Linked DNA regions of Callithrix jacchus. The protein of the gene in region 2 interacts with the protein of the main gene of each other region in a biochemical or structural test. Links are inferred from orthologs where the notes say so. Each region holds a gene or a part of one and is shown on either strand. Other genes may lie near its edges. The genes, in order: TNFAIP3, RIPK1, BIRC3 and OTUD1.

What was found.
Region 1: of the proteins of RIPK1 (region 2) and TNFAIP3, one has a biochemical effect on the other in vitro, tested with the Homo sapiens proteins (2 studies listed by BioGRID). The link is inferred for Callithrix jacchus from reciprocal best matches to the Homo sapiens genes RIPK1 and TNFAIP3.
Region 3: of the proteins of RIPK1 (region 2) and BIRC3, one has a biochemical effect on the other in vitro, tested with the Homo sapiens proteins (5 studies listed by BioGRID, with this or other methods). The link is inferred for Callithrix jacchus from reciprocal best matches to the Homo sapiens genes RIPK1 and BIRC3.
Region 4: of the proteins of RIPK1 (region 2) and OTUD1, one has a biochemical effect on the other in vitro, tested with the Homo sapiens proteins (2 studies listed by BioGRID). The link is inferred for Callithrix jacchus from reciprocal best matches to the Homo sapiens genes RIPK1 and OTUD1.

What each region holds. Positions count from the first base shown.
Region 1 is NC_133505.1:144,646,263-144,653,430, reverse strand, and holds part of TNFAIP3 (tumor necrosis factor alpha-induced protein 3), read right to left. Parts: intron 4,036-7,168; exon of another isoform or gene 3,963-4,035; intron 3,860-3,962; coding exon 3,550-3,859; intron 259-3,549; coding exon 68-258; intron 1-67. UniProt on the Homo sapiens protein: Ubiquitin-editing enzyme that contains both ubiquitin ligase and deubiquitinase activities.
Region 2 is NC_133505.1:27,532,158-27,538,845, reverse strand, and holds part of RIPK1 (receptor-interacting serine/threonine-protein kinase 1), read left to right. Parts: intron 1-2,138; coding exon 2,139-2,291; intron 2,292-4,342; coding exon 4,343-4,629; 3' UTR 4,630-6,688. UniProt on the Homo sapiens protein: Serine-threonine kinase which is a key regulator of TNF-mediated apoptosis, necroptosis and inflammatory pathways.
Region 3 is NC_133511.1:37,314,112-37,321,787, reverse strand, and holds the start of BIRC3 (baculoviral IAP repeat-containing protein 3), read left to right. Parts: upstream 1-3,506; 5' UTR 3,507-3,563; exon of another isoform or gene 3,564-3,597; intron 3,598-7,597; 5' UTR 7,598-7,676. UniProt on the Homo sapiens protein: Multi-functional protein which regulates not only caspases and apoptosis, but also modulates inflammatory signaling and immunity, mitogenic kinase signaling and cell proliferation, as well as cell invasion and metastasis.
Region 4 is NC_133508.1:23,882,534-23,890,221, forward strand, and holds OTUD1 (OTU domain-containing protein 1), read left to right. Parts: upstream 1-2,366; 5' UTR 2,367-2,749; coding exon 2,750-4,192; 3' UTR 4,193-5,417; downstream 5,418-7,688. UniProt on the Homo sapiens protein: Deubiquitinating enzyme that specifically hydrolyzes 'Lys-63'-linked polyubiquitin to monoubiquitin.

The DNA.
Region 1 (7,168 bases), about 120 Mb from region 2:
CTCACCCAGGGGTACCCTATGCCCACCATGGAGTTCTGTCAATAGATAATTAGGGGGCAATACATACCCGAGTGTCATAGCAAAGCCCCGTTTCCACAAATTCCTGAGATTTGAGAGACTCCAGTTGCCAGCGGAATTTAAAGTTGCGTGTGTCTGTTTCCTTGAGCGTGCTGAACAGCGCCTTCCTCAGTACCAAGTCTGTGTCCTGAACACCCCACATGTACTGAGAAGTGGCATGCATGAGGCAATTGCCATCACCTGAGGACAGAAAGGAGGAGAAGAGAAGGAAAATCAAGTTATCTGCATTTAAGGTCCAGCAAAGGTTTTCAGAATAAACCAGCCCTGCTACTGTGCTAGGTCATTGAGTGGTTTAATTTCCTAGTCAAGTACAAATTGGTATTTCACAAGATAATGACAGCTTTAAGGAAAAAACAGTTCTTTTCATTTTTCTTTTTAATGAATGACACCAACAGCAAAGGAGCCAGGGGACCTTGGTTCTAGCTTAACTCTGCTCCTAACTCATTTAGGTGACCTGGGGGAAATTCCTTAGGTTCTCTGGGCATTTTTCCTCTTTGTGAAATGAGGGCACTGAGTGATGATCTCTAAAGCCCCATCCCTTTCTACTATCCCCTGATTTGCTGGTGAAGGCACTGGCATTGCTGCTCTCTAATCCTAAGGAAGATCACACAGAGCAACATGCACAAACCAGGAAGCGGGCATGGCTTGCTAGACTGGGATGGTATGGCTATGACTCAATGGCAAATGACTTGACCATTCCCCTTTAGCCTTTGGGCCCTGGGAGTTTCCTCTCCTGGTGTGTAAAGTGAGGTTGGCAACACTGAATTACCTATGGCCTGCCAGTCCAGCTCTCAAAAACGCGTTATGCAAACCTGCTTGTTAGTAACTGTAAAGTACAAAAGTTAAAAAGCACCTGGGTGTCTACATTTGAAAATAATTCAGTATTTAGGGCTGACATTTTGAGAAAGAAAAAAAGCAGGTTGAATTGTATGCCATTCATTTGTGACCCTTCCAGTTTAAAACTCACAATTCAATGGGCTGCATTTTTTTCAACCTCCAAACAATAAATCTTTTGGGGAAACGTTTAAAACAAAAAAGTTAACTCCTTGGTATCTTTTGGCAAATACAAAATAATCTTTATAAAGAAAAGTTAAACTGTTTCTCATATTACTCTATAAGTAGGGCAATAATGCTATTTGAAATGTTATCAAATTATAATTACAGTCAAACTATAAAGAGACCAATAAAACCCTCAAATATGTATCCACAGCCAGTATTCCTTCAAGTTACACATTTAGAAAAACTAGCTAAGTAAGTATTCAAACAAATGGACAAAAAAGATCGCCCAAGCCTTGTGCCTTGGCAGACGTGTAGCAATGATTGCATTCTGTTGAAATTTCCCCTTTGCAAAATCTAGAGCAAAGATAAGGCTTTTTTTCTTCTTCTTGTGCTTACTTTCAGTTCTTTATTGAGATGCACCAGTATAAAATTCCCTAAGTAACATCTGGAATTCCCCAGTGCTAAGTTATTTGACTAGCAATTGAGCAACAGCTATTGTACTTTTTGTTCTGGTGTGTAGACATTTAAACTGCGAGGTGCACCCTGGACTTTCCAAGTGGGTGTGGTCAGGGTGAGCTGGAATAGGGCTACTCATTATACAAGTGAAATCGCTGCAGCCAATAGACGCTGGAATTTTTCACATGAAGTTTCAATTTTATGCCACCTACTCCCTTCCTCATTCACCACAGTCTCATATCCTCAAATGCAAACTTGTGAATCACCCCCTCCCCAGATATTGCCTTTGAATAACCCTCCTATCAACGGAAAGATTATTATTATTTTTTTAAAAGGTGCTAATCAAAATCAAAGAAAAAAAAGTCATTTGTATTCCTCCCTCCCGATATCCTTTCTTCCACATTTAGACTCTTAAGGAGTTTTCTAGAAAGTGAAGAAACAAAAGGATTCTGAGTCTAAAAATGATTTCCCAAAAAACGTTACCAAAATGCACCTGGCTTTTGTAGTTTTATTTGTAGTGTGACTCCTTGTTGATTTCAATGACATGTTTGCAAAATAAGTGTTTCCTATTTATAGTCCCTTTTTTTTTCCTAGTGGAAATCGAGCATTTCCTATCTTAAGGAAACAAGGCAAAAAGTCAGTTAATTTTCTTAATAAGGTTTCCCCCTTCCTACCACATTTTTAATTCAGCAGAATCTTTCTTTCCAACTCCCCCAAAGTTTACTCTATCTCTTTTTAGTAACAAAATGGGAGAGGATTAAAACCACAAATTGTCAGGCACATAAACCCCATGATGACTTTACATAATTACCTACCTCTATGTATCACTTAATTTAATGCCAAGAATAATGCAGACAGTAGCTATCCCTAGTTTTCTTTCTACCTATGTTTCTAAGAATCAGTGTTTCATAAATCTAGGCAAGCTGTTGAAGCAATGTACAAGACCCCCCAGAATCAAAATTTAAAAACCCACATCCACCAATCACTCTAAGTTACCCAAGTCAAAAAAAGCCAAAGTTAATGTACCAATTAAGTTAATTAAGTCAGTGTTCTTATCGTAATCATTGTCAACAATGATTTTCTGCTCTTGGACATCTTACTTTTATTAGGATGGTTTGGGACTGTCACAGATTTAAGTATCTGAGATTCCTGGTCTTATGTAGTCTATGAGCATTTAATTGATCTTGTACAGTCCACTTGCTTATTGTAATAATTATCCACATCCATAGAGTAGAATTTTGTGCCTGCATGAAACTGTATGCAACAGACACTCCTGTTGATGCACAGATTCTTATCCAAGGGAAATGATTAAAAAATAAAGCAGTAAAGCTTGGAATAGGAAATAGCTACTCCTGGTAAAGGCCATTGGCAGAACAGCACAGGCAGGAAGGATTTCAGTGACTAGGAACCTCTAAAAATAATGAAGGTGAAGTCTAAAACTCATGCTAAAAATCTCAGCATCGATCTATTTCACACTGCAGGGCATAGGCAGTAGAACCAGGTCAGAGAGGAGGAGGAGACAAAAGAAATTCCTCATGTCTTCAACAGCCATTCACTGGTTAACCCATAAAATGCTACCAATTCGAGAGGCATAAGAACATCACACGCATTTTCTAATGACAGTGGGAAACAAACGTACTACCAGTTTTCACACCATGCTTTTCTTTTGAACTTAAGGCTATTAACATTTCCATTACGAGCCAGTGAAGGGTATTTTACAGATGATTAAACATTTGCAAGCATTAGAAACAAATCACCTAATTGGAGTATTAAAAACGCATTCTCCAAGCCTCAATGTGCTCTGCAATATACACAATCAGAAAATATCCTTAATAAATAGATTCACAAAACAAGTCAGCTCTTATCACATGTCCCGTATAGAGTTTCTACACTAAAGTGTCTACTAAATCTCAAGAGATTTGAGTTTGGGCTTGTGCTATTAAAGCTCCATGAATGGGGACCCAGCAAGCAGAAGCTATCACCCAGGCAAAAGAAGCACAACAGAGCAAGTCTTACCATTCGTTTTCAGCGCTACAAGCTTCCTGACTTCCCGACACCAGTTGAGTTTCTTCTGGCTTTCCAGGGAAGCCTGGATGTTTCTGTCGATGAGGGCTTTGTGGATGATCTCCCGAAATTGAGGACAAAACTGGCAAGTTCTGAACATTTCCAGTGTGTATCGGTGCATGGTTTTAAAATGATGAATGATCCCATTCGTAGGTTTAAAAATATCTTCTGGAGTTCTCTCCCGTATCTTCACAGCTTTCCGCATGTTGCTCAAATACAAAGCCTGAGGAAGGACTTGTTCGGCCATTGTGCTCTCCAGCACCTGAAAAGGAAAGAAAAAAAAACAGCCATTCCATTAGCCTGACTTTGATATGACTCCTATATACCTGTCTGCAGGAAACCCCAGTGTTTGATCTTGTCATTACCCTGATCTGTAGGCAAAAGATCTTAGCACCTCTACTCCCGGGATACTAGCTGGCCCAGAGATTAACTCACACTGGGCTGTTTTAAGTTACATCACTTTAAAAGATTAGTCTAAATAAGGGACGGAAGGCAGAGAGTGGGTACTGAGGAGGAGGGGAATAACCTGTGTTTTCAGTAACGTTTGTCAGGGAGCCAACCCTGTCTGTCAGCAACAGGTACTGCTCCTCAAAATCAACTGAAGCTCCTGTTTCATTCTGAGACCACGCTGAACAGCGCTGGATTTGGGGAGTACCGGATGCCAGTTAAGGGCTCAATGTAGCCCCGACAAGTCTATAGCTCCTTCCCTTCAGACCACCACCAAGCAATCCTGCCCTTGGGCAAACTCTTGAGTAATCACTCCCTCCCTATGCTGGTAAACTATTTTATGAAAAATCTTGCAATTTTATGCTGTCATTTAGGCTCCTGGTTGGTGTTTCCTCTTTAGCCCCAAAGAGAAGTATTTCAGTGTTTATTCATAAAGTTTATTCTGATGTTTATAAAGAGTTAAAGCGGAATGTTTTCTAATCAACAACAAAAAAACCACTTCCAGCAAGATGCACTGCAATTTTAAGAGCAGTCAACATTCCTTCAGAACCTTCCCACCAGACTTCATATCAGAATAAGAAACAGACTAATAATAGGCTGGGCACGGTGGCTCATGCCTATAACCTGGCACTTTGGGAGGTCGAGGTGGGAGGATCACTTGGGCTCAGGAGTTTGAGAATAGACTGGGCAACATATTGAGACCTAGGTCTCTACAAAAACAAAAAATGAAAAACCACAAAATAATAACAGAACAATAAATTCTGTACTTCCAAGAACAGATATTGAAGCTCAATCATTTCAACTCAACTGCCAATAAAATTCTGTCATCACCTTCCAGGTCCTAACACAGATGCATGTCTGCCCAGTTTTTCACCCTGAAATCTTTAAGCATAAGCAACTAGCAGAAGGAATGAAAGTCTAGAAGCAGACAAGGAAGGAAGTTTCCACCAGGAGGCCACTCCAGCAAATGAAGGAGGAAAGGGGCAAAGACCAGCATCTACAACCCATGCCAACAGCTCAGAATGATGTGAATTAACATAATGTGGGATTTCTCCAGTACGGAACCGCGTGGAGAGCCAGCTCTGGTTCGCTAGCCCTTTGTAGGGTGCCTGGCCACACTTCCTAATTTCCAAGACGATGAAGATGTTTTCAGAGCACAAAGACATTCTCTAGGAAATTTCACAGAGATTATTAATTCCACTCCTGCAGCAACCTATTTGTCAGGGCAACTCTCCAGTTGATAAAATGTTAAACCTATGGAAGAGGGAGGAGAAGAAACCTAGATTTTAGGGTAGCTACTCCTGGGTGGGTCTAGGCTCTCTTAACACCATTGATAAGGTGGTCTAAATTCTTGTGGCCCACTCAAAGGAGAGAGGTTGGACTTAGATGACCCATGGTTTCTCCTGAGGAGTTTTCTGGTGATAGTTTTAGATTGGGATTCTTAATCTGATTGCTGGGAAAGGCATAGGGGGAGTCATTCTCCAGATCAGATGGTGTTTTCCTTTGATATCAGCCATCCACTACAGGTGAAATTGGGCAAAATCATAGCAGAACAAAAAATAACACATATACCTTTCCTTTGTGGCACAGCAAAAGTCTCTTTCACAATATTGTCCATCCATCAGTCTGTCCATCCATTCCCCCCACCCACCCACCCATGCACCCATCCACCCATCCACCCAACAAGCCCTACCTGACCACCTAATGAAGGCCAACACCATCCTTGATGAGGGACTAAAAGTCAAAGATGGCCTTATTTCCTTGAAACCACACTACCACCTTAGTGTGCAGCTAAGGCAATGGAGTTACAGGTACTGCTTAGATCCCACAGCCATTCAAGGGCAAAGTTTAGCCTAGCAGCCAGGTCTTTCAACATCTGCCCCTTGCAATCCCACAACACCAAAGCTGCGGCTACAGTGCCTGCCACAATCAGATGGAAAGAGATGGGCAGGAGAAAGATTTTAAACAAAAGAGGTGCTATCTCTTTTTGCTTGTCTGACTCTTATTTTTCTCTTCCAAATCTAAAGATTTTTCACCAAAGATCTAAAATAGTGAGGGCTGTAAACCATAGGCAAGATATGCAAATGTCAATACTGGACACCCCAGTGAGCTCGCATTGGTAGGTTTAGCCTTGCACAGCCTGTAAAGTTGAAATCAAATCCTTAGAAATCAAAACCCACTGCCCAAGTTTCCAGTTCTTGGACTTCTCCACACTTAAGATTAAAGAACAAATGTTTCAGATACATTTTAAAGTGTCAAACAATGCAATATTACCCTTAACTTTTTTTTTTTTTAACATTTGTTACTTCGCTGTCTTATTTAAAGGTAATTTCTCAACTTCTGTCACTAGGATCAATGGGATTCTAAAGAAATTCTCCATTCCTCAAACTCTTCTCCTCGTTTTATTTTTCTACTATGGGGGGACATTTTTGTTCGTGTTGTGGAAATTGATGAATTATTTATCAACAAATACCTCATCCAAATTTGGGGAAGTGCCTCTCCAAAAAAAATAAAAAATAGTACAAAGAATTGAAAAAAAAATCAAAGCAGCATCTTAAACAATGAGAATGAGGCATTCATTGGCTGCTCAATAATCTGGTACATTAAGGTTGCGAGTCCAGAAGCCCCTTTAATTAGTGATGATTCTGCCAAAATGCTGCTCTGAGACACTTGACCAGACGGGCTTTCCAAGGAAAGAAGATCTAAGGCGAACAGAACTGAAAACAAAGCGGGCTCGAAAAGAGTTAAGCTCCTTCCTTACTTAATGCCACTGCTTTCCTGAGAGGCCAGGTGGCAGGAAGTGGGACGACCCCAGCTGACAAAGACAGTCTGACTGTGGGGTAGGGGCTGGAGCAGGGGCCTGCAGCTCACTGCTAAAGTGGAGCCCCCCAAAGGCAGGCCAGCGACCCACGTCTACATGCAGACTTCTCTTACATTGTTGCAACTAGAAAAGCTGGACCCCGCTCCGGGACCTCAACCCCCTGGACCGACCCCTGAGCGTCTGCGAAGCTGTCCCTGAAACTGAGGCCCCGCCCCCCCCCACCTCCGCCGGGCAGCCTGCCACTGCGGTACCCCACGCCCCGTCGGGCTGATTCTGCACAATCTGGGAAAAAGCCCCAGCGCT
Region 2 (6,688 bases):
TGGTGGGCTAGGAAGATGAAACAGGGTACTTGGCACTGTGCCTGACAATGCACAGAATAAGTGCTCAGTAAATGGTAGCTGCTGTAATTAGCACTGTTATTATCATTGTTAACAACGAACACTTAGCCTTGAGTGCTGGAAGGCACCTCAGAGATGGTCACAGGGGCTCCTTGCTAGGATTCCAAGGACCCCAGTTTCAGCAGCTTCACGAACACCTAGAATTGCACACAGATGCCATGTGTGTGCATATGCTACATTTCTTACACCTTTCAGTAGAGAGGGTCCCTAGTTTCCTTGGCTTCCTCAGAGAAAATGCAATAAATGAGCATGGCATCTGGTCCAGAGGGCAGCCTACCTTAGGGCCAGGTGTGTTGACAGAGGTACCTAGAGCTGAATTTCATTTCCCTCCCTCCTCAGAACTGTCTTCTCCACCACCTTCTCTCTCCTACAAAGATATGCTAAGTGTTCGTTAGAGACAGTACCTAACGAGCTGTCTGACACTTGACAAATTCAGCTCAGCATGAATGTCATTGAGCCCATGCCTCAGGCTAGCGAGCATAAGGTATACAACAAAAAGTGGATATGGTTGCTACCTTTCAGGACTCACATGCTAGTGGAGAAGTCAAACAGACCTAGCTCGGATGCAGAGCGGCCCAGGGCAGTGTCCTGAGTCTAGGATTATAGTGAAGGCTCATGGAAGGAGGTAGAATCTGTGCTGGGCCTGTGTCAGAAACTCACAAGTAGGGAGAAACATGTGGGGAGGTCAACAGTCCAGGCAGAGGCAGGAGCATCATGTCAGCAGATGAGTGGGAAATCTGGTGGGACTGGAGTCTGGTGTGGAGGGAGACAGGAGACAGTGAAAGGAAGATCAGAGAGAAAGGGCAGAGCAGAGCTGTGGCTAGCTCTGAAGACGGAACCTGAGAGGTATGAGTTCATCAGGTAGAGGAGGAGGACCCTTCACAGATATTGTTGAGAGTCGTGGGATCCTGTAAGTGTGGCTGAGCTTTGCTGTGCTGTCTTCCACCTCTGTTTTCTGACGGTGTTAGCCACATTTTTTTAATGGTAAAATTCAAAAACATAAAATTGACCATTTTAACCATTTTTACAGTGGCATTACTTACATTCACATTGTTATGCAACCATCACCGCCATCCATCTACATAACTGTTTTAATGTTGCAAAACTAAAACTCAATCCATTAAACACCAACTCCTCAGTTCCCCTCCCAGCCTCTGACAACCACGTGGGGAGGTCCTTCTGTCTTTAATTTTTTTGAAGAACCACAATACTCTTTTTCTTCTGCTTCAGATGGTATCTTGCTCTGTCTCCCAGGCTGGAGTGCAGTGGCACGATCTCAGCTCATTGCAACCTCCGCCTCCTGGGTTCAAGTGATTCTCCTGACTCAGCCTCCCAAGTAGCTGGGATTACAGGCTCCCGCCACCATGCCCGACGAATTTTTTTTAGAGACAGCGTTTCACCATGTTGGCCAGGCTGGTCTCAAACTCCTGACCTCAAGTGATCCACCTGCCTTGGCCTCCCAAAGTTCTGGGATTACAGGCGTGAGCTACCGCACCTGGCCAATGATACTCTTTATAGCAGGGCCTGCACCATTTTACATCCCCACCAGCAGTGTGTGAGGGCTCCATTCTTCCACGTCTTTGTCTATGTGTGTTAATTCTTTTTTTTTTTTTTTTTTTTTTTTGAGACGGAATTTCACTCTTGTTACCCAGGCTGGAGTGCAATGGCGCAATCTCGGCTCACCGCAACCTCCGCCTCCCGGGTTCAGGCAGTTCTCCTGCCTCAGCCTCCTGAGTAGCTGGGATTACAGGCACGCGCCACCATGCTGACCAGGATGGTCTCGATCTCTTGACCTCGTGATCCACCCACCTTGGCCTCCCAAAGTGCTGGGATTACAGGCTTGAGCCACCGTGCCCGGCCCTTTTTTTTTTTTTTTTTTGAATTGTAGACATCCTAATGGGTACGAGGTGGTTTAGTCACATTTTAAAGAAGAAAGTTTAAAGGATGGCATAGGATAGTTAACCCAATGTTTGGAGTAAAGCCAGGCTTTTTTGCAGTGCTATATTTTTTCTCTTGCTTTTGATCTAGAAGTACTTACCTGTGTGTTTCTCTCTATTCAGAGGAATCTATAAAATGTACCATACACAACAGTAGCGGTGTTCAGATTGGAGCCTACAATTATATGGAGGTTGGTGGGATGAGTTCATCACTATCAGACAGCATAAATATGAACTTTAAAGAAGAGCCAGCTTCTAAGTACCAAGATATCTTTGGTAAGATACCCTTGAAGGACCCAATGTCTATCAACCTTGAACTTTCTTGTGAGAAGGATGTAGTGGAATCTTGAAATTTCTCTGATAATTCTTCCTGAAAGTTTTCTCATGTTACTTCTGCAAAATAACTTTGTGATTTCTGTGTAATTTCTTTGTGATTTATTTATTTTTAATATGGAGATAATAACAGTATTTAATTCATGGCTTTGTTGTGAAAATTAAATGAGTTGATATGTATGAAAGCTTAGAACGCTCCCTGACACATAGTAGGGTCTATAAAAAGTGTTAAACTTTCATCATTATCATCAGTATTACTGCTCAGACCTGGAAGAAATAGCTGTGTCAGGCCCTCATCAAAGGAGATCCTGTAAAAGAGAGAAGACTGTGCCCTCCACAGCACTTCTGCAATAAAATCAAGAGGGCTGTCTCTTACAGGGTCCTACTGTGCAGGACCATAATGCTAATCTCGAGGTACAGTCTGGAAAAAGCAGTCATGAGGCCAAAACAACTTGATTAAGAACTCAGCTTTCTAATTAACAACAGGATTGTCTTTTTGTTCCTGTAAAGGAACCGATAGTAAATGTTAGGCATTGCTGGCTTTGAGGTCTCTCTTGGAACTACTCAACTCTGTTACCGTAGTACAAAAGCAACCATAGACAATACGTACATGAATGAACATTGCTGTGTCCCAATAAAACTTTATTTACAAATGGTGGCAAGGAGCCAGATTTGGCCCACAGGCTATAGTTGGCCAACCCCTGGTCTAACACATTTGAAGAACAGCTTTTAAAATACCTAGAACAGAGGTTCTTAACTTTTGATTAGCCAAGGACACCCTTGAGATTGTAATGAAACCTAGGATCTGTCCCATAAAGAAATACTGACAAAATTTGCCAAATATTTTGGGAAGTTTTTGGACTGCTGACAATCTAGCGGTGGCAACACAGGCCACATTATGGAGGGCTGAGGAAAGAAAGGAGGTTGAAAGGAAGAATGAGATGTTTTCTCCCTTACATTCTGTTTATTGAGGTAGAGTGGGGATTAGGGAATATGTTTGTTGTGGTTGTTTTACATTTTTATTTGTTTCCTTTTATTATTTTTATGAAGGGCTAAGAGAAGAACTAGTAGGAGAGAGGTTATGGCTATCGGAGAAGAGGCAATGGCAGTCGGGGGGTGGGGGGCAGGGAGAAGGGTTCAAAAACAGACCTTTCATCGTGTGAAAGACAAGGAAGGCATTGTAACTGAATGGGTTCACACCTGCTGGACAGTTTCCTTGATTAAGAGGAAAGTGAACTGTTGGGCAGGGGTGATGGTCAGGAGGTAAGTGGCTTTAACTCTGGCCAGATGTAAGTGAAAAATGTCCAAAAGGAACAAAAATGGTGGGTTTTTCCTTTACATCCAGGAAAGTCTAACACAAACAGGGTCACCGGCTAAGATTGAATAGAACACCCAGCCTTGTAGCCACATAGGGGTTTTGTTCACAGAGCCATCAGCTGTGGCTCAGAGATGTGTCTGCTAGGAGGAAGGAATGCCTTATTCTTTTGTTTTGCTTTTGAGACAGCATCCTGCTCTGTGGCCCAGGCTGGAGTACAGTGACACAGTCATGGCTCACTGCAGCCTTGAACACCTGGGCTCAAGTGATCCTCCTGTCTCAGCCTCCTAACTGAGACTACAGGCATGTGCCACCATGCCCAGTTAATTTTTTTTTTTTGTAGAGACAGGGTCTTGCTATGTTGCCAAAGCTGGTCTAGAACTCCTGGGTTCAAGTGATCCTCCTTCCTTAGCCTCCCAAAGTGTTGGGATTATAGACATGACCCACTACGCCAGGACAGGAATGCCCTATTCTAAGTCACACAAAGACTCCATGTGGGCTAGCAGGGATATAAAATGTCCACCAAGGTGTCAACAGCTATATAATTAAGACGTTATCTTTTTCACTGTCTCCTGCTACTCTTCACCTCACTTGGGGTTTTTTTTAGCAATTCAGGAAGCTGGAATGTTTGAATGGGTTTTATTTAGCTTGATACCTTCTTCTCTTTCCCATTTGGCAGATAATACCACTAGTCTGACTGATAAACACCTGGACCCAATCAGGGAAAATCTGGGAAAGCAATGGAAAAACTGTGCCCGTAAACTGGGCTTCACACAATCTCAGATTGATGAAATTGACCATGACTATGAGCGAGATGGACTAAAAGAAAAGGTTTACCAGATGCTTCAAAAGTGGCTGATGAGGGAAGGCATTAAGGGGGCCACAGTGGGGAAGCTGGCCCAGGCACTCCACCAGTGTTCCAGGATTGACCTTCTGAACCACTTGGTCTACATCAGCCAGAACTAACCCTGGATGGGCTATGGCAGCTCAAGCGACTCCTCACTTAGTGAATTGCTGGAGACCCCAAGGATGTGAGGCGTGACCAACTCAGTATACCTCTGGAGGCTATATTAGTAAACAGCAAACTGTCCTCATGAAACCAGGATGTCAGCTGCCAGACAGAAAGTTGAGGGCAGTTGCGCCCCAGGTCCTGTGCTCCTTGAGGCTATCTGTGCTCTACCTAAGTATCTGTAACCTGTTGAACAAAGGAAGCAGTACCTGTAATAAATCAAGTTCACCGCCTCCTCCCTATTCACTTAAATACGAAGGGCTGTAAAAGCTCAGGGCTTTGGTTCACTAGAAGCAAAGAGCCCCCTGACCCCTTCTTTCAAATAGAACCTTTTGTCTTTGTCTTCAGTACCTAAGTTGGCTGCCTCAGAGCATTCAGAATTGTCCTCACTGATAGGAGTTCTGTATCCACAGAAATATTGTTTCCTATATTTCATAGCTGGAGAATGGGGAAAGAAATCTGCAGCAAAATGGTCTCACTCTGTTGCCCAGACTGGTCCCAAACTCTTGGACTCAAGTGATCCTCCCACGTCGGCCTCCCAAAGTGCCATGAGCCATTGCGCCTGGCCAACAATCCGCTGTGAGGAAAGTGAAGCAGGAAGACCTCTTAATGGCATGGCACCAATCAAAATATGACTCCTAATCGGGTTTGGAAAGGAAGGGAAGAGATGTCTGAGGAAGATTCTTTTCTTTCAGCATATGCTGTCTTAGAGTTTTGTTGAGACAAGAAGAAAAACTCAGAGAACATAAAATCAGCTTTTAAAATTTTGTGCTGTGGTCTTCACAGAGGTTCTTGTTATAACCAAAGTGGAGTGAAACTCTAAGCCCTGCTCAAAGAGATTTGTTTGTATCACAACTGCAGCTCACTGCCAAATTACAGGGTCTGTAAATTACAGGGTCTGTTAATTACAGGGTCTGATACAGTATCAAATACTGTATCAGTCACTAGAGGCTCTAAGAATCACATGCAGTCTTCAATCCATTAAATTATCAATTATTTTTTAAATTAATTGAATTTATAGTCAATTAATTTTTAAATTAACTGAACAGATTTAAAGAGGTACTAAGGAGGGGGAAAAATCGTGGGGAGGGAAACATCAGAATTTCCCAGGCAGTTATTGCAAGGAATTGCTACCAATTGTGACAACAGCAAAAATTCTTGATTGACTTTTAAAGTTCTTTCCTGGCATTCTGGTACTTTCACTCAGCTTGGGTGCCCTGGAGAGGGAACAGGGAATGTTGATCTCCACCCCTGGATGAGACCAGAACCTCAGGGCTGATACTGCTGAGTGGCTTCCTCGGTTTACTCCTGCGTACTGTGAAAGTATTTTCATATTTTTTCTGTGTGCCAGAGTAAAAAAGGACAGTTTCTGGGTCTGGTAATGGAGCCTCTAGCACCCAGCCTTTCAAAGCTCACCTGAAACCTGGGGGTGGATGAAAGGACGAGAAGACTGAAGCTGGGTGGGCTGCCCAGCGTCTCTGTTGGCATCTTGCTAAACAGAGAGGGAAGGCTGTGTACTTAGCTCTCCCCAGAGGGAGGGCGAGAAGGGTGTGGTGATGGTCAATCTGGCTGTCAGAATCGATTCTGGTGTCTTGGGCTGATAATAGTGTTGTGAATTCTGATTCTGAATCCCCTTGACTCCAGCAGACACATACACACCCCTGAAATGGGGCTGCACAACAGGCTGTCCCAGCCTTGGCACTGTTGGTGTCTCAGGCTGGGTAATTCTCTGTTGTGGGGACTGTCCTGTGCCTTGTAGGATGTTTGGCAGCATCCCTGCTGCCCCTACCTACTAGATGCCAGGGGCACTGTTCTCCCCCTCGTCCCTCCCCCAGTTGTGACAAAAACGTCTGTAAATGTCAAATGGTCCTTGGAAAGGAGAAGATTGCCCCAGTTGAGAAGAGCATGCTGTAAAGTAATGAGCCTCGGCTCTCCTGTCCTCACCTGTCCAGTTACTACTCGGCTGCCATGCAGCCTTGGATCCTGCAGCCCAAAAGGGAGAAGGGAGGGGAGGCG
Region 3 (7,676 bases), on a different chromosome or scaffold from region 2:
GGAATAATTGATCAGCATTAGTGTTGAGAAAATGAATGACTCTAATATCTGAGTATAGGGTTGCTAGGTAAAATACAGGACACCAAATTGAATCTAAATTTCAGATAACTAATGAATAATTTATTAGTATAGGTAGGTACCAAGTATTGTACAATACATTCTTATACTAGAAATGCATTCATTGTTTATATTAAATAGAAATTTAACTAGGTGTCCTCTGTTTTAATTTGCTAACTCTGTCGATCTTATCTGGTTATCAAAAGCTTGATGGTTTCTAAATCACCAATTTCAGCAAAATGGAGTTGTCTACTGATAATTACAAATTTTGATTCAAGATCACTAAATAACTTTTGGAATATAAAACATATTTTTAAAATTGTGAAAAAATTGCCACAATAATGTTTCTTCTGGGCCTATCTACTTATCTACTTATTTCTGTGAAATAGGGTTTACACCATTTATAATCTGCAGAAATGAAAAAAAGGAACAGAATCTGTGCTGAACCCTGACATACTATAGCCATAAGTAATATTCATAAATGTTACACTTGAAATACTTGCTTAAAATATAAGCTGCAACCCCCTCAAAACTGTATTTGTAATAAAATTATTAACATTTACAATAGTTTTATATTGTTTTGACCAATTATGTTTTAAAAGTAATAAAAGCAATATCAATGATAATGTAATCAAAGAGGAATTTTTTTTTTTTTAAGATGGAGTCTCACTCTGTCACCCAGGCTGGATGCAGTGGCACAATCTTGACTCACTGCAACCTCTGCCTCCCAGGTTCAAGTGATTCTTATGCCTCAGCCTCCCAAGTAGCTGGGACTACAGGCATGTACCACCACACCTGGCTCATTTTTGTATTTTTAGGAGAGATGGGATTTCACCATGTTGGCCAGGCTGGTCTCAAACTCCTGACCTCAGATGATTCACCTGCCTTGGCCTCCCAAAGTGCTGGTATTACAGGTGTGAGCTGCTGTGCCTGGCCAAAGAGGAATTTTTTGTTTTGTTTTTTTGACACTTAGAGCTTTATGATCCTAGAGAAAAAAATAGATTTCAATTTATAATGTGTTTATTTCAGATATGTGACAGAGAGATCATAAAAGATGCCCAATATAAACATGTATTAACATTCTGTAGGGGAATTGGAATGTTCAATGACAAAAGGCAATGATAAAATATTTTCAGTTATTAAAGATGGCCTGATATTAATTACTTCATGAATGGTCATGTATTTCAAATGACTATGGTATTAGGATCTATCAAATACATTCAAAAGAGTGCTCTATCAATTTTTTCCCCAAAATATCTATGTTTACATTTTATAGATTCGTGACATGTACAAAAGCTTTTTTTTTAAAATTGTGCTTTAAGTTCTAGGGTACATATGCAGATCTTGCAGGATTGTTGCATAGGTACACTCATGCCATGGTGGTTTGCTGTTTCCATCCCCCTGTCACCTACATCAGGCATTTCTCCCAGTGTTATCCCTCCCCAATCTCCCTGCCTCCATCCCTCCCCTAGCCCCCAACCCCCCAACATACTCCGGTGTGTGATGTTCCCCTCCCTGTGTTCATGTGTTCTCATTGTTCAACACCCACCTATGAGTGAGAACATGCGGTGTTTGGTTTTCTGTTCTTGTGTCAGTTTGCTGAGAATGATGGTTTCCAGATTCATCCATGTCCCTACAAAGGACAGGAACTCATTGTTTTTTATGGCTGCATAGTATTCCATGGTGTATATGTGCCACATTTTCTTTGTCCAGTCTATCATTGATGGGCATTTGGGTTGGTTCCAGGTCTTTGCTATTGTAAACGGTGCCACAATGAACATACATGTGCAGGTGTCTTTATAATAGAATGATTTATAATCCTTTGGATATATACCCAGTAATGGAATTGCTGGGTCAAATGGAATTTCTATTTCTAGATGCTTGAGGAATCGCCACGCTGTCTTCCACAATGGTAAACTAATTTACACTCCCACCAATAGTGTAAAAGTGTTCCTATTTCTCCACATCCTCTCCAGCATCTGTTGTCTCCAGGTTTTTTTAATGATCACCATTCTAACTGGCTTGAGATGGTATCTCAATGTGGTTTTGATTTGCATTTCTTTAATGACCAGTAATGATGAGCATTTTTTCATATATTTGTTGGCCTCATATATGTCTTCTTTTGAGAAGTGTCTGTTCATGTCCTTCAACCACTTTTTTTTTGGAATGGGTTTTTTTGTTGTAAATCTGCAAAAGCTTTATGTTTTAATGTTAAGTTAAAAATGGGCAAGGGAATACAGAGCTTTTCAAAACTCTTCTGGTGAGTACATAATCGAAAAAGTGTAAGGCCCACAAATTATTTGCAATAATCTCAGGAGTGAGTTGAAAATGGCTTAGAAAGTCTTGAATGAAGCAGACTCAAATGTGGATTAAAATCTCCATGTGATAAATATACTTAGTATTCTGAAATAATTACAACTGGAACTTTAGCTGCTGTGGACAGCCAAGTCCACCTAAACCAGAAGATGCCTTGCTCAGTCCAAGTGTGTGCAGAATGCACTGGATGCCATTTCCACAGCATGTTGAAGTCCCAAAAATCCCAAATAATCTCTGCCTCTGGTTAGTAATCGTCTTTGATCTACTGGAAACCAGAAAATCAGATGAACTCACCCAATGCATCTGTTACCCTGGTAGGGACCACTCTCAGATGAAGTTGCTTAAATTTACTTCTTAGAAAACATTGAGGAAAATATGGCAGTGCAGTGTGACTCAAAGATGTCAGGTTTTCCTAAGAATGGCACTGCAACTCAGAAATCTGCCCTGCAAGAGGCTAAAAGGAGGGATTTTTTAAAATAGCATACTCCACCCTTATTAAAAAAAAAAACTCACCAAAACAAAACAAAGTATTTCACTACAGAAAATTAACAATTTCAATCTTTAAACTAGTAAAAAATAAACTGCAATAACTGCTTGATTTTTTTCCACATACCCCTGCATTTGCTTTCAACTGTTACTTTCTTGATCAGAACAAAAAGTAAAAATAAATAGAAAGATTTCACAAAGTTTCGATTTTTTTTAATGCTGGACTTTTGCATCTATGGTAGATTGAAAAACCTAACCTTTTTACGTGTAGTGTCTGGCGGATGGAGGGTGGGAACCAGGGCGCATTGACCTTTTCCAGGCAGTCTGAGCAATGATCGTCCTCTCTATATGGGTTATCAAGATTTTCTCTGACCCAAGAGCAATGAAGCAAATGTCTTTCAGTAAATGCAGCGCAGATATGCCACGGTAAAGAGTCATGTTTTTGGGTCATGGAAATCCCCGAGTGGATTTTCCAGGCCACTGAGTAAGAGGAAGTGTGTGTGTAGTTATTACCGCTGGAGTTCCCCTAATTTCTAAAAGAAAAGCCCATGCAAACCACTCGGGGGGGCGGTGCGGAAAGCCTAGTGCGGCTAGGGGTGGGGATTCGATGACGCATTTAAAAGGCAACGTGAGACTCGTGCCCTCCCGCACAGAGCAGGCCGGGCGACAGATGTCAGTTGAAAAGACTGGGCTCCTCCTTGCTGGTGCGTGCGTCGTCGGCCTCTGGACAGCAGGCGGGTGAGGAAGGAAGGCGAGTGTGAGTGTGAGTGTGTGTATGTGTGTGCGCGCGGGCGCGCAGCACCCTTGCGCCTCCCCAGGTGTAAGAGGTGCGCCGGCGGCTGGCCCAGGGGCGCTCAGGGCTAGAGACCAGGGCGCCGCACAGGTTGAGAATCAGAGGGTGGGGCGCAGTCATCAAACACGGCTCTAAGCCCAAAGTAGGCTCTAGATAGGTTCCAGGTGCTCAATTTCTGTTTTACGTTTGGAGTGAGCCAGTGGAATTGTGAAGCTTTGGCATTTTGATTTGGTTGCCGAGAGTTATCACTGGTTCTTTGCAGGTGCCAAATACATTTCAGGACAGAGCCTAACGCAGAGCTCTGGCACAGGAAGGACTCAGTAAAATGTTGAATGAACAATGGAGGCATGTTTCCAAGCGGTGGTAGGAAGACAGCAGTTTTTGTTTGTCTTCCTGGGGATCAGCATGGAAACCCAGCAGTGCTCTTACTCTGGTCAATACATTGTCGAAGGCATTTACCTGGTGCTAACATAAAATAATATTAAATACTGACTTTATTTGCTGTTATTTATTACTAACATTGAGTACTGCTACCTGCTATATGCTAGTTTTCTCTCTGAAGAGTTTACATGCATTTTTCACATTTATCATGATCGTAAGAAGCAGGTACCATATTTATCTTCATTTGACAATGAGGCAACTGAGACTCTTGGACATTTACTTGCCAAGGTCACACTTCTGGATACTGGACTGCTTGGTATGGGGCACCCCAGATGTCTGATTCCAAAGCCTGATATTAATCGATCATTGAACAGACTCTGTGGTCATTAATGTAAAATTGATAGAAGTGCTGTGGTCACTCAGGGTTCAGTCACATTTGCTAACATTTACTTCTTCAATGGGAAGTCTTAGTGTCTACCTATATGCCAAGCTCTGCAGATGCTGTAAGTGGGAGGGCAGGTACAGAGATGAAACATATTAATAGTTGCCATTCTAAAAGAGCTTACTGTCCAGGGGGAGGCAGAAAGAAAAGGCACACTTGCCCTCCAGTGTCAAAGAAATGAATGTGCCACGTGCCCAGCAGGGTATGGATGCCCAACAACCCTGGGATGGGGGAGGTTGCCCGCTTGGTAGGTTACATGGAAGAGTCAGGAGAGGAGAGGCTGGGGACTGAGCCAATCTGAGAAGGAACCCCTAGCAATGAAAGAGGAATTGCAAGAGCTTGGTGCCAGAGAAACCCAGGGAATGGGACATTTCTAAGAGGAAGTGTGCCCCAGTGTCAGATGTAAAAATTTCCACTGGTTTTGGCTAAGAAGCCATTGGTGTTATCAATACTGAGAGCAGTTTTGAGTGATGCTGATTTGATGAGTAAATGGCAGAGGGAAAATGAAAACATTAACCATACACACATGTTCAATTTGCTTGGTTGTGACGGGAAGGTGCAATACAGGGTAGTTGGTAGAATAGAAAGGGATTGAAAGAGGATTTTAAAAAGTGCTTTTATTTGAAAGTTGAGATAGGTTTAAGCATGAGTGTTACGTGGAAGGAAAAGGGCCAGTCAAGAGTGAGATGAAAGAGAGTTGAAGAAATGAGGGGGATGGGATTAAGAACAAGATTTCTGAGGCAGTAGGAGAGGGTAGGATCCCATAAGAGGCAAATCTTTGAGGCAGCAAGTAGGTTGTGAGCAAAAAAGGCTTAGATATGAGAATGTGAAAGAGTTCCTACTCAGTGATGTCTCTTTTCTTTGAGAAATAGAAGGCAAAGCAATTGACTGAAAATGAAGTGGAGTGTAGTGGAGAAATTTGAGGAAGGTGTTAAAGGTTTAAAAGAGGTGCACGGGGCAGTGTGCTAGGGAGCTGAGTGGGGCTAAAAGGAATTGCTAAAGGTTGGTGAAGGAGTCTGAAGTGATGCTGGTCCCAGTCTGCAGGGTTGCATCTAGGTGTTGGAAATGTTTAGGACAAGTGATCTAGGGTTGACATCTTGGCATATTTTTGTATTGTTATTGTATAGTTGTTTCTTAAATTTCCACAAATATATGCCTTGCTGGAGTGCAGTGGCCTGATCTCAGCTCGCTGCAACCTTTACCTCCCGGGTTCAAGTGATTCTTCTGCCTCAGCTTCCTGAGTAACTGGGACTACGAGTACGTGCCACCACGCCCGGCTATTTTTTTTTTTGTATATTTAGTAGAGATAGGGTTTCACCATGTTGGCAAAGCTGGTCTTGAGCTCCTGATCTCAAGTGATCTGCATGCCTTGACCTCCCAAAGTGCTGAGATTACAGGTGTCAGCCACTGCACCTGACCTAAATCTTCTTTAGGATAAGATTTGTGTAAGGGATTTGCAAACTCAAATGCAGGTGATATAAATGAGAAAACCTCTGAGTGTCTCTTTTTCTTTTTCTTTTCTTTTCTTTTTTTTTTTTTGAGACAGGGTCGTGCTCTGTCACCCAGGCTGTAATGCAATGATGCAGTCTCATACTCACTGTAACCTCCATCTCATGGGCTCAAGCGAACCTCCTGCCTCAGCCTCCCAAGTAGCTGGGACCACAGGCATGCACCACCATGTCTAGCTAATTTTTGAGTTTTTCTGTAGAGATGGAGTTTTGCCAAGTCACCCATTTTGAACAATCAAGCAATTCATCTACCTCAGCCTCCCTAAGTGCTGGGATTACAGGTGTGTGCCATGGCGTGAGGCCTTGTGGGTGTCTCTTTTAATAAACTTTCATATATTTTAAATGAAAGCATACTCTATTTACATATTTGACATGAAGGAATATTCTTCCTTTCTACAAAGACACATGGTTCTCCTATTTTTCTCAAAAGTTTGTCCTTCTTCCTCTACTTTTCATTTTTGTTACTTTTGATAGACACATGTGTTACACTGATTTCACTTTCCTCATAATTCTGTTGTAAGAAAAACAATAGTGCCAGTCCAATGACAAATAGCAACAGTCTGTTATTGCTAGACTGTTACTGTTAGCAGAGACTACCAGAACAGTCTCAGTATCAGGGAGTCAAAGATAACACGTTCCCTCTCTAAAGGGCACAGCTGCTGCTCAGCTCTAGATGATTGCTGCCCTGCAGAACTATAGGCACAGCATTGCTAGATATTTTGATTTTTCAAGAGAAGCTTGGAATCTAGAATGTGATGGGAAGTCTCTTACATTTAAAAATGTTGGCAAATAATGGTAAGATTTAAAAATACTGTGGTCCAAGAAAAAAATGTATTTGGAAACTGTATTAAATTCAAATAAGGCATGCAGATTAATCCACAGCATGGTACAGTGTGCATTTTCTGGTTTCTTTAATTGCACTATGATTATGTAAGGTGTTGGCTTTGGGGAAGCTAAGTGCAGAGTATGCAGAAACTATTATTTTTGTAAGTTTTCTCTATGTATAAATTTCAAAATAAAAACTTAAAAAATTAGTGAAGTACTATAATGCAATTTTATGTAAGCCAAACATGATATGTCTACCAGTTTGAGACCTCTGGTTTTTTGTTTTTGTTTTTTTGAGATGGAGTCTTGCTGTGTCACCCAGGCTGGATGGAGTGCAGTGGTGTGATCTCAGGTCATTGCAACCTCTACCTCCTGGTCTCAAGCGATTCCCCTGCCTTAGCTTTCTGAGTAGCTGGGAATACAGGTGCACGCCACCGCACCCAGCTAATATTTGTATTTTTAGTAGTGATGGGGTTTCACCATGTTGGCCAGGCTGGTCTTGAACTCCTGACTCCTGAACTCCTCAAGTGATCTGCCTGCCTTGGCCTCCCAAAGTGCTGGGATTACAGGCCTGAGCCACTGCACTAAACAGAGACCTCTGTTTTTTTGTTTTGCTTTTAATCTCTTTTTGGCCTTTACAGTGCCCAGTAGAGAACCTGATATATGGTAGACAATCGTAATTACTATTGCTCTACTTTGGAGAAGTTTTTTTTTTAAAAGATCATTGTGCTCCATCTATGAATTGTTTGACTTTTAAAACTGTCTTTTTGTTTGTTTGTTTTTGAACAGGTTTACAAAGGAGGAAAACTGCTTCTTCTAGATTTTTCTTTTCCATTTTCTTCTATAGATCAAAACATCTTAAGATGGA
Region 4 (7,688 bases), on a different chromosome or scaffold from region 2:
TTCCTATAGGATCACCTCCTCCAGGAAGCCTTTCCACATTGAGATACAGAGTGAACACGGATTCCTACCGCCAGTATGCAGTCTTGCATAGTCCACTGCCCCAGACAAACTAAAAAGATTTTTTTAAATGCCTTCCTATGTTTGTTTTGAATCTTCATCTCTTTGCTTTTGTCCTTTGCTAACTGGGTACATCACAGGTAGTGTGTCTTTCGTTGACCTTGTGTTTGTTGTTTTTGTTTTTTTCCTGCATTTACCCCAACCTGTTGAAACCTGTTCTTGCTTTAGGATTTAAATTCTAATATTTTCCTATCTCCCTTCAGGCTCCAGTTATGCTAGCCCTGCTAGGCGCACAGTGGGTATGGTAAATACTATTTGAGGATGGCCTTGTTAACAGTCTCGTCTTCTGTTTCAGAACACCAGCTACTGAAAGAGTTCAGTGTGAAGTGCTTCATGCGCAGAGCAATAGATGCCCAGCAAATCAGTGATGAAATCCAAGTATAGTAATTTCCTTTTTCTAATTAGCCACGAGAGCTTCAAGCTCCCAATGGGGTAGTTACCAGAATTTCAGAAGTTAAGACAGTCATTTACCTTCTTCTGAGTTAATTTACCTAAACAGCTGAAGTGACCTGAGCCGGGATCCTGCCAGTCATACTGCCCAAAGATAAGTAAAAGGCCTGGCTAGCGTCAAGGGACCTGGATAGAAATCTTGGCTTTGCCACTGTCTGAGACATCTTTAGAACTGGCTTTCCATCTACTCATTCACTTAGTAGATATGAATTAAGTCTAATTATGTGCCAGGCACTGTGTTAGAGGATGGAAATACAAAGAGCAAGACCAAGTCTCTCAATTCAAGGAATTCACATTCCACTGGAAAGGTGGGGGCAGGAGTACAGCTTACATCACCTACAGGTCCAGGTTCCCTATCTCTAAAATCTTAGGACAACCTCTAGGTTCAATTTTAATGTGTTGGGTCTGTTAAATTTAGCATTTGATCAAAGCTCAGAACAGAGCAAAAGTCTCCCACCACCTCTGGCTCTCCCTTACAAAGGCAGGCATTACAAAAAGACTCGGTAGAAGCATTTTCTTTAGTTTGTCTTGCCCTAGAATGCAGGTCACGACTTTCTCCACTGCTTTTGACCTCTGGCTAGCAATTGTACCTATTTTCAAAAGGCCCTAAGTGATAATGCTTTTGGTATTCTGAGAACGGCTGTTTATGAAAGGCTTCCTTGCTTTCGCCTAAGTCAGATATTTACCAGGTGGCATAGGTCAGAGGTGCAGAAAAGTTTGTTTTGTCTTAGCAGGGCAGGAGGATCCACTAGAGGACTCACTCTTAACAGGTGAGTCCAAGGAAGCGCCTACAAAAGACGCAGTGGTGAAACTAGCTGGGCACCTGTAATCCCTACCCAAGGCAAGGCTGAGGAAGGGGGATCGCTTGGACCCTGGAGGTCGAGGCATGATGGCGTCACTGCATTCAGCCTAGATGGCTAAGCAAGACCTTGCCTCAAAAAGAAAAAAAAAGGTAAAAGATGTGGTAGTGCCAGGCGTGGTGGCTTGGGCCTGTAATCAATCCTAACACTTTGGGAGGTTGAGGCGGGAAACAGCTTAAGGCCAGGAGTTCCATACCAGACTGGGCAACTGAAGTGAGGCCCTCGCCTTAAAAAAAAAATTAGCTGGGTGAGGTGGTGCACGCCTGTGGTTTCCAGCTACTCTGGAGGCTGAGGCTGGAAGATCGCTTGAGCCACGGGAGGTCAAGGGTGCAGTGGGCTCTGACTGAGCCACTGCACTACAGCCTGGGCGACAGAAGGGACCCTCATCTCTAAAAAAAATAAAGAAAAAAAGAAAAGAAGCAGTGGTGAACGCAAGCAGGTATGGTAGCCCAATACCATGGGGAGGCCAAACAGGCTTTAAGGCAGCATTCCGTCCTCCACACCCAGCCCGGAAGCTTTCCTGCCACACAAGCTTTCCAAGCATGCTAGCTCGCCCCAAGCAGCGCCCATCCCGCAGCATCCACTGCAGCCACCGCAGAGAGCGGCGCAGCTTAGAAACCCGTCCCCAGGTGGGGAAAACGGTCCGCGGGAGTCACGTGGGCGGGAGGCCCAGCCAGAAATCTCAAGACTGCGCAGGCCCCTGAGCCTCAGCGCCCCCGGCTCCGCCCCGCCCGCGCGCGAGTGCGCGCGCGCGCGCGGGGGACTACGCCCGTGACGTCGGCGGGGCACAGCGGAGCGGGACAGGAGGCGGGGCGCGGGCCGGAGTGGGTGGGGCGAGTCGGTGCTGCTGAATCGGGCGCCCGGACGAGTCGCGCATTCCAGCGGGGTCATGTGACGCGGCCGCGAGGCCTGAGGTAAACAACCGCGGCCCCGCCTCCCGGGCCTCCGCGCGCCCCGCGCTCCTCCTTGTCGGCGAGACGCGCTCTAGCGGGGTGGGTAGCTTCTTCCGAGAGTCCCCTGCGGCCGCCGCAGCAACTGCAGCGGGCAAGGCGCCCAGGGTCTGCAGGCCGAGCGCACCGGCAGGGGTCGAGCGCGCGTCCCGTCCCCGCCCTCCCCCCACGCTGTGGCGCAGCAGGAATTTGGCCGGGACCCGGGAGCTATTCGCGGCTGCTGACGCGCGGCGGCCGGCGACCGGGCGCTCATCTCTATTCTGGGGCCGTTTGGTCACCGCGCTCCGCCGGCCCCCTCCCCCGGGCCCGGAGGGTGTGTCCCCCGCTCGGGGGCTCGCCGCGCCTATAAGGGGCCGAGCGGCGGGCAGGGACATGCAGCTCTACAGCAGCGTCTGCACCCACTACCCCGCCGGGGCCCCGGGTCCCACGGCCGCAGCCCCCGCGCCGCCTGCAGCCACCGCCGCCGCCCCCTTCAAGGTCTCGCTGCAGCCCCCGGGAACCGCCGGCGCCGAGCCCGAGACCGGTGAGTGCCAGCCCGCCGCGGCCACAGAGCCCCGGGAAGCCGCCGCTGTCCCCGCCGCCAAGATGCCTGCCTTCTCCTCTTGCTTCGAAGTGGTGTCCGGGGCCACCGCGCCCGGATCCGCAGCCGCCGGCCCGCCCAGCGCGTCCTGCAAGCCGCCACTGCCGCCGCACTACACTTCCACCGCGCAGATCACCGTGCGGGCCCTGGGCGCCGACAGGCTCCTGCTGCACGGGCCCGAGCCCGCTCCCGGCGCCGCGGGCTCTGCGGCCGCCCCGCGCGGCCGCTGCCTCCTGCTGGCCCCGGCGCCCGCAGCCCCCATCCCGCCGCGACGGGGCTCTTCCGCCTGGCTCCTGGAGGAGCTGCTGCGGCCCGACTGCCCCGAGACGGGCTTGGAGGCGGCCCGGGAGGGGCCCGATCGGAACTTCCGACTGAGCGAGCACTGCCAGGCCCTGGCCGCTGCCAAGCATCGAGGCCTCGCGCCCACCCCGGGGAGTCCCGACGCCGGCCCCGGTCCGTGGGGCGAGGAGCACCTGGCGGAGAGGGGCCCCCGGGCCTGGGAGAGGGGCGGCGACCGCTGCGACGCGCCTGGCGGGAACGCGGCTCGGAGGCCCGACCCGGAGGCCGAGGTGTCTCCCGGCCGGAGCAGCGAGGCTGCCCCGAGCAGCGCGGTGGAGCCGGTGGTTGTCCCCAGGTCGGATCCCAGAGACGAGAAGCTGGCCCTGTACCTGGCCGAGGTGGAGAAGCAGGATAAATACCTGCGGCAGAGAAATAAGTATCGATTCCACATCATTCCCGACGGCAACTGCCTGTACCGAGCTGTCAGCAAGACTGTGTACGGCGACCAGAGCCTGCACCGAGAGCTGAGGGAGCAGACCGTGCACTACATCGCCGACCATCTCGACCACTTCAACCCCCTGATTGAGGGCGACGTAGGGGAGTTTCTCATCGCTGCTGCCCAAGACGGGGCATGGGCTGGGTACCCCGAGTTGCTGGCCATGGGGCAGATGCTGAATGTGAATATCCACTTAACTACTGGAGGGAGGCTGGAGAGCCCCACGGTGTCTACCATGATTCATTATTTGGGCCCAGAGGATTCCCTGAGGCCCAGTATTTGGCTCAGTTGGCTCAGTAACGGACACTATGATGCTGTATTTGATCACTCCTATCCTAACCCAGAGTACGACAACTGGTGCAAACAAACTCAAGTGCAGAGGAAACGCGATGAAGAACTTGCCAAATCTATGGCCATATCCCTGTCTAAAATGTATATTGAACAAAACGCATGCTCTTGAAGTGTCTCAAAACCTTAACACCCTGGGAAAATTGCATACATAACTTGTGTTTGGAGAATCACGTGAACTCTAATCAGGGTAATAGCACTTTCAAACTTCCTAGTAGATTTTACTGTAGGTGTAATGCCTTAATCATCTTTTTGAATGTTTTCTCAGAGCTGAAGGTTGCTGGGCACCCAAATGATGTTTCATGATAGCTTAGGGTGATTTTACTGCTATTTATAATTTGCTGTATAAAGTGAGCACTACTTAATTTGCAAGCTGTTTTCTCACAGTGTAAATTTGTTCATTCCTGGTAGTCTATTTTCTATAAAAATGTATTTTTGCACAACATTTTTAAAAACTGGTGTACCTTCATCTATGACGTGTCCCATTTTGACAGCTTTCAAGCATAAATCCAGAGAAGTGCTTTATATGAAATGTATTATTTTGAACAGAGTTTGTGATTTGGTAGTTCTTACGTTGTTGAAATTTGATTTTCACAATTCTTAGATAATTATTTCAGATGGATATTGATGTATTCTTGTTACCAAGTGTTTGGCCCATTCCATTTTGATGAAACAAATCTGTTCTGTTGGAAATAATTATTTTTCTAGAAATGGTGAATCTTTTAAAGAGAAATACTTAACAGAAGGTTGTGGGAAGGTTTTTTTTCTTCTTTTAAGGGATAGTACCAGGTCTTACTTGAATGAAAGTCTGATATTTGCCGATGACAGAGTGATTATTCTGTACCCTGGTTAATGTGTAAATTGTCTGGTGCTCTCAGTTTTATTTACATTTGTCACTTTGTTATAAGAGAATCTAACTTGGTATAAAATTTTGTGACAAGATAAGCCTCCTGCTTTATATAACTTCTTGGATCCAGCTAAGAGATTTATAAACTAATGTCATAAATGTCTGGAGCCAACCTTGGCAGTTATAGCAGGAGAACACTGTCTTAGTATTTCTTTTACATTCTTTCAAAAGGCAAAAAAGGATTGCCCTGTATTAACTTAGAAATGTCTGTAAACAGAGCTTGTGTGGTTTGCTGGGTCAAACAATGTTTCCCACTTAAAATCTATCTCATTGCCACTTTAACTACTTTTAGTCATATTTATTAAGTAATGCAGTTTGTACTTTTTTATTTTGTAACATTTTGTGATTTTTTTGTACAAAACTGTATTTGTACAATAGAGCAATTCCCAGCTGATGGAATGAATGAATAAAATGCAAAATTATACTTTTACAGTGCTTTCATGGATAGTGTTTTTTAAATTCTGATTCTTGAAGGAAACTTTCTTACACATGTGCATATACACAGTTCTTTTTTTCCATAAAGATGCCACAGCAATAGAGAAGTTTCCTAAATTCTCACATGAAGAGGACAGGCTAATCATGAGTAATTTCAAAGGATGAGTCTGAATAAAATATAATTTAAAGGTGGAGTAATCCAAGAAATTGCTCTCATTATTTCTAATTATAATTCCTGTTTACAATTCTAGCTGTACCTATTGGCTAATGAAAAAGGAAGTGCAAGTTTTGTGTCAGCCAGCAGCATGTCTAATTAAATGTCATATTTTTGTATTCCACTCTCAGTATAGATTTTAACGGATAAAAGAGTAACCAAAGAGATGCACTCATTTTTGTCTAGTCTGGCCTCTTGAGACCATGGGAATCTGTTTTAAGATGTTGAGAAGGGCGTCGTTTAAATACGTGTGTTCAGCCACCTCAAATTAGTGTGTTGAATTTGGGGTCTTGGGGAAATGATTGGAAGAGGTTGCGCTTTTGGGGAAGTGATTCAAGTCATGAGCACTCTGCCTTTGTGAATGAATTAGTGCCTTTTATAAAAAGGGCTGGAAGAAACTAGCTTAGGCCCATTTTACTGTTTTGCTGTTCTGCCACAGGAGGACATCTAGATAGTGTCATCTGTGAGGAAGGGACCTTTACCTGATGTGGAATCTGCCAGCGCCTTGATCTTGGACTTCCAGCCTCCAGACTGTGAGAAATTTCTGTTCTTTATAAATTACAGGTATTTTGTCGCAGCAGCACGCGTGGGCTAAGTTGGCGCGCCCCTGTGCATAATGTTGGGGTATGTTTACTGCAGAATAAAAGCAGCTGTTTTGGATATTTTACTTTTCAGTTGGTCGTTTAGATATCACAGTCATAGACACAACTGAACTTGAGTTCATTGGTTAACCACGTGTTTGGAAGGATGCCATTGAATATCAAGGAAAGAATTCGTCAAAGGTTTAAATGTTTGCTAATCACAGATCTCTGGATTTTTGTGTAGGTAAGTTTTGCTTTGTGGTATCACTAATTTGGAAAGAAAGGAATTCTGTTATTTGAATTACTTGGCTACTCCTTTTCTCCACTTTATTTAGAGCTGTATTAAATTTGGAGGTACTTAAAATTTATAGAAGAATAAGTAGAATACACAAAAATTTCTAAAAGCATTCTGTAAGCCTATTACTGTTTTGATGGGTTCCTGTGTGTTCTGTCATTTTCAAATTAGGATTCCAAGTCCTTGTTTCTTTTTCTTTTTTGTTTTTTTTCTTAAAATAGGGTCTGCCTCTGTCACCCAGGCTGGAGTGCAGTGGCACGGTCATGGCTCACTGCAGCCTCAACCTCAGGGCTCAAGTGATTATCCCACTGCAGCCTCCTGAGTAGCTGGGACTACAATAGGCATGCACCATCACATCCAGCTAATTTTTTTGATTTTTAGTAGAGATGAGGTCTCACTATGTTACCCAGGCTGGTCTCAAATTCCTGAGCTTAAGTGATCCTCTTGCCTCAGCCTCCCAGAGTATTGTGATTACAGGCATAAGTCACCATGCCCAGTCCTGTTTTTAAATTTAATTTAATTATTAAATTTTGTTTATGTTTTTGAGACTGTGTTGTCTTGTCCCCCAGGCTGGAGTGCAATGGCACAATCATGGCTCACTGCAGCTTCTGCCTCTGGGCTCAAGTTATCCTTGGCTACTGAGTAGCTGGGACTCTAGGTGTGTACTACCATGCTCAGCTAATTTTTTATTTTTCATAGAGATGGTGGTTTCCCTGTGTTGCCCAGGCTGGTCTTGAACTCCTCAGGTGATCCTCCCACCTCAGACTCCCAAAGTGTTGGAATTACAGGTGTGAATCACCACACTCAGCCTTGAAAAAAAAAATCTGGAGATAATTTTATTACTCTGTTCAAGTTTATCTTACATGCTTTTTCTCTTCCTAAAAGAAAGTTAAACTTTTACAAATTTTTTCCAAGTTTTACATTTTGAGAATCATTAGCACTTTACCATGATGTTCAGTGCTCATGTGGAAGAAAGGCAGTAAGGAAGAAAAACAGATTGTACACCTTTGGACATTTGATAATTTGATATGTAGGTAAATGTACTAGATAAATTCAAGTATGTAGCACGTTCACATTAAATAGACAGTTATTTGTTGTATCCTAAATTCAGACCTCTTTTTTTTTTTACATCCCTAGAGTGTCTATAACTATCTCAAAGAGGCACCAAGAAACTAG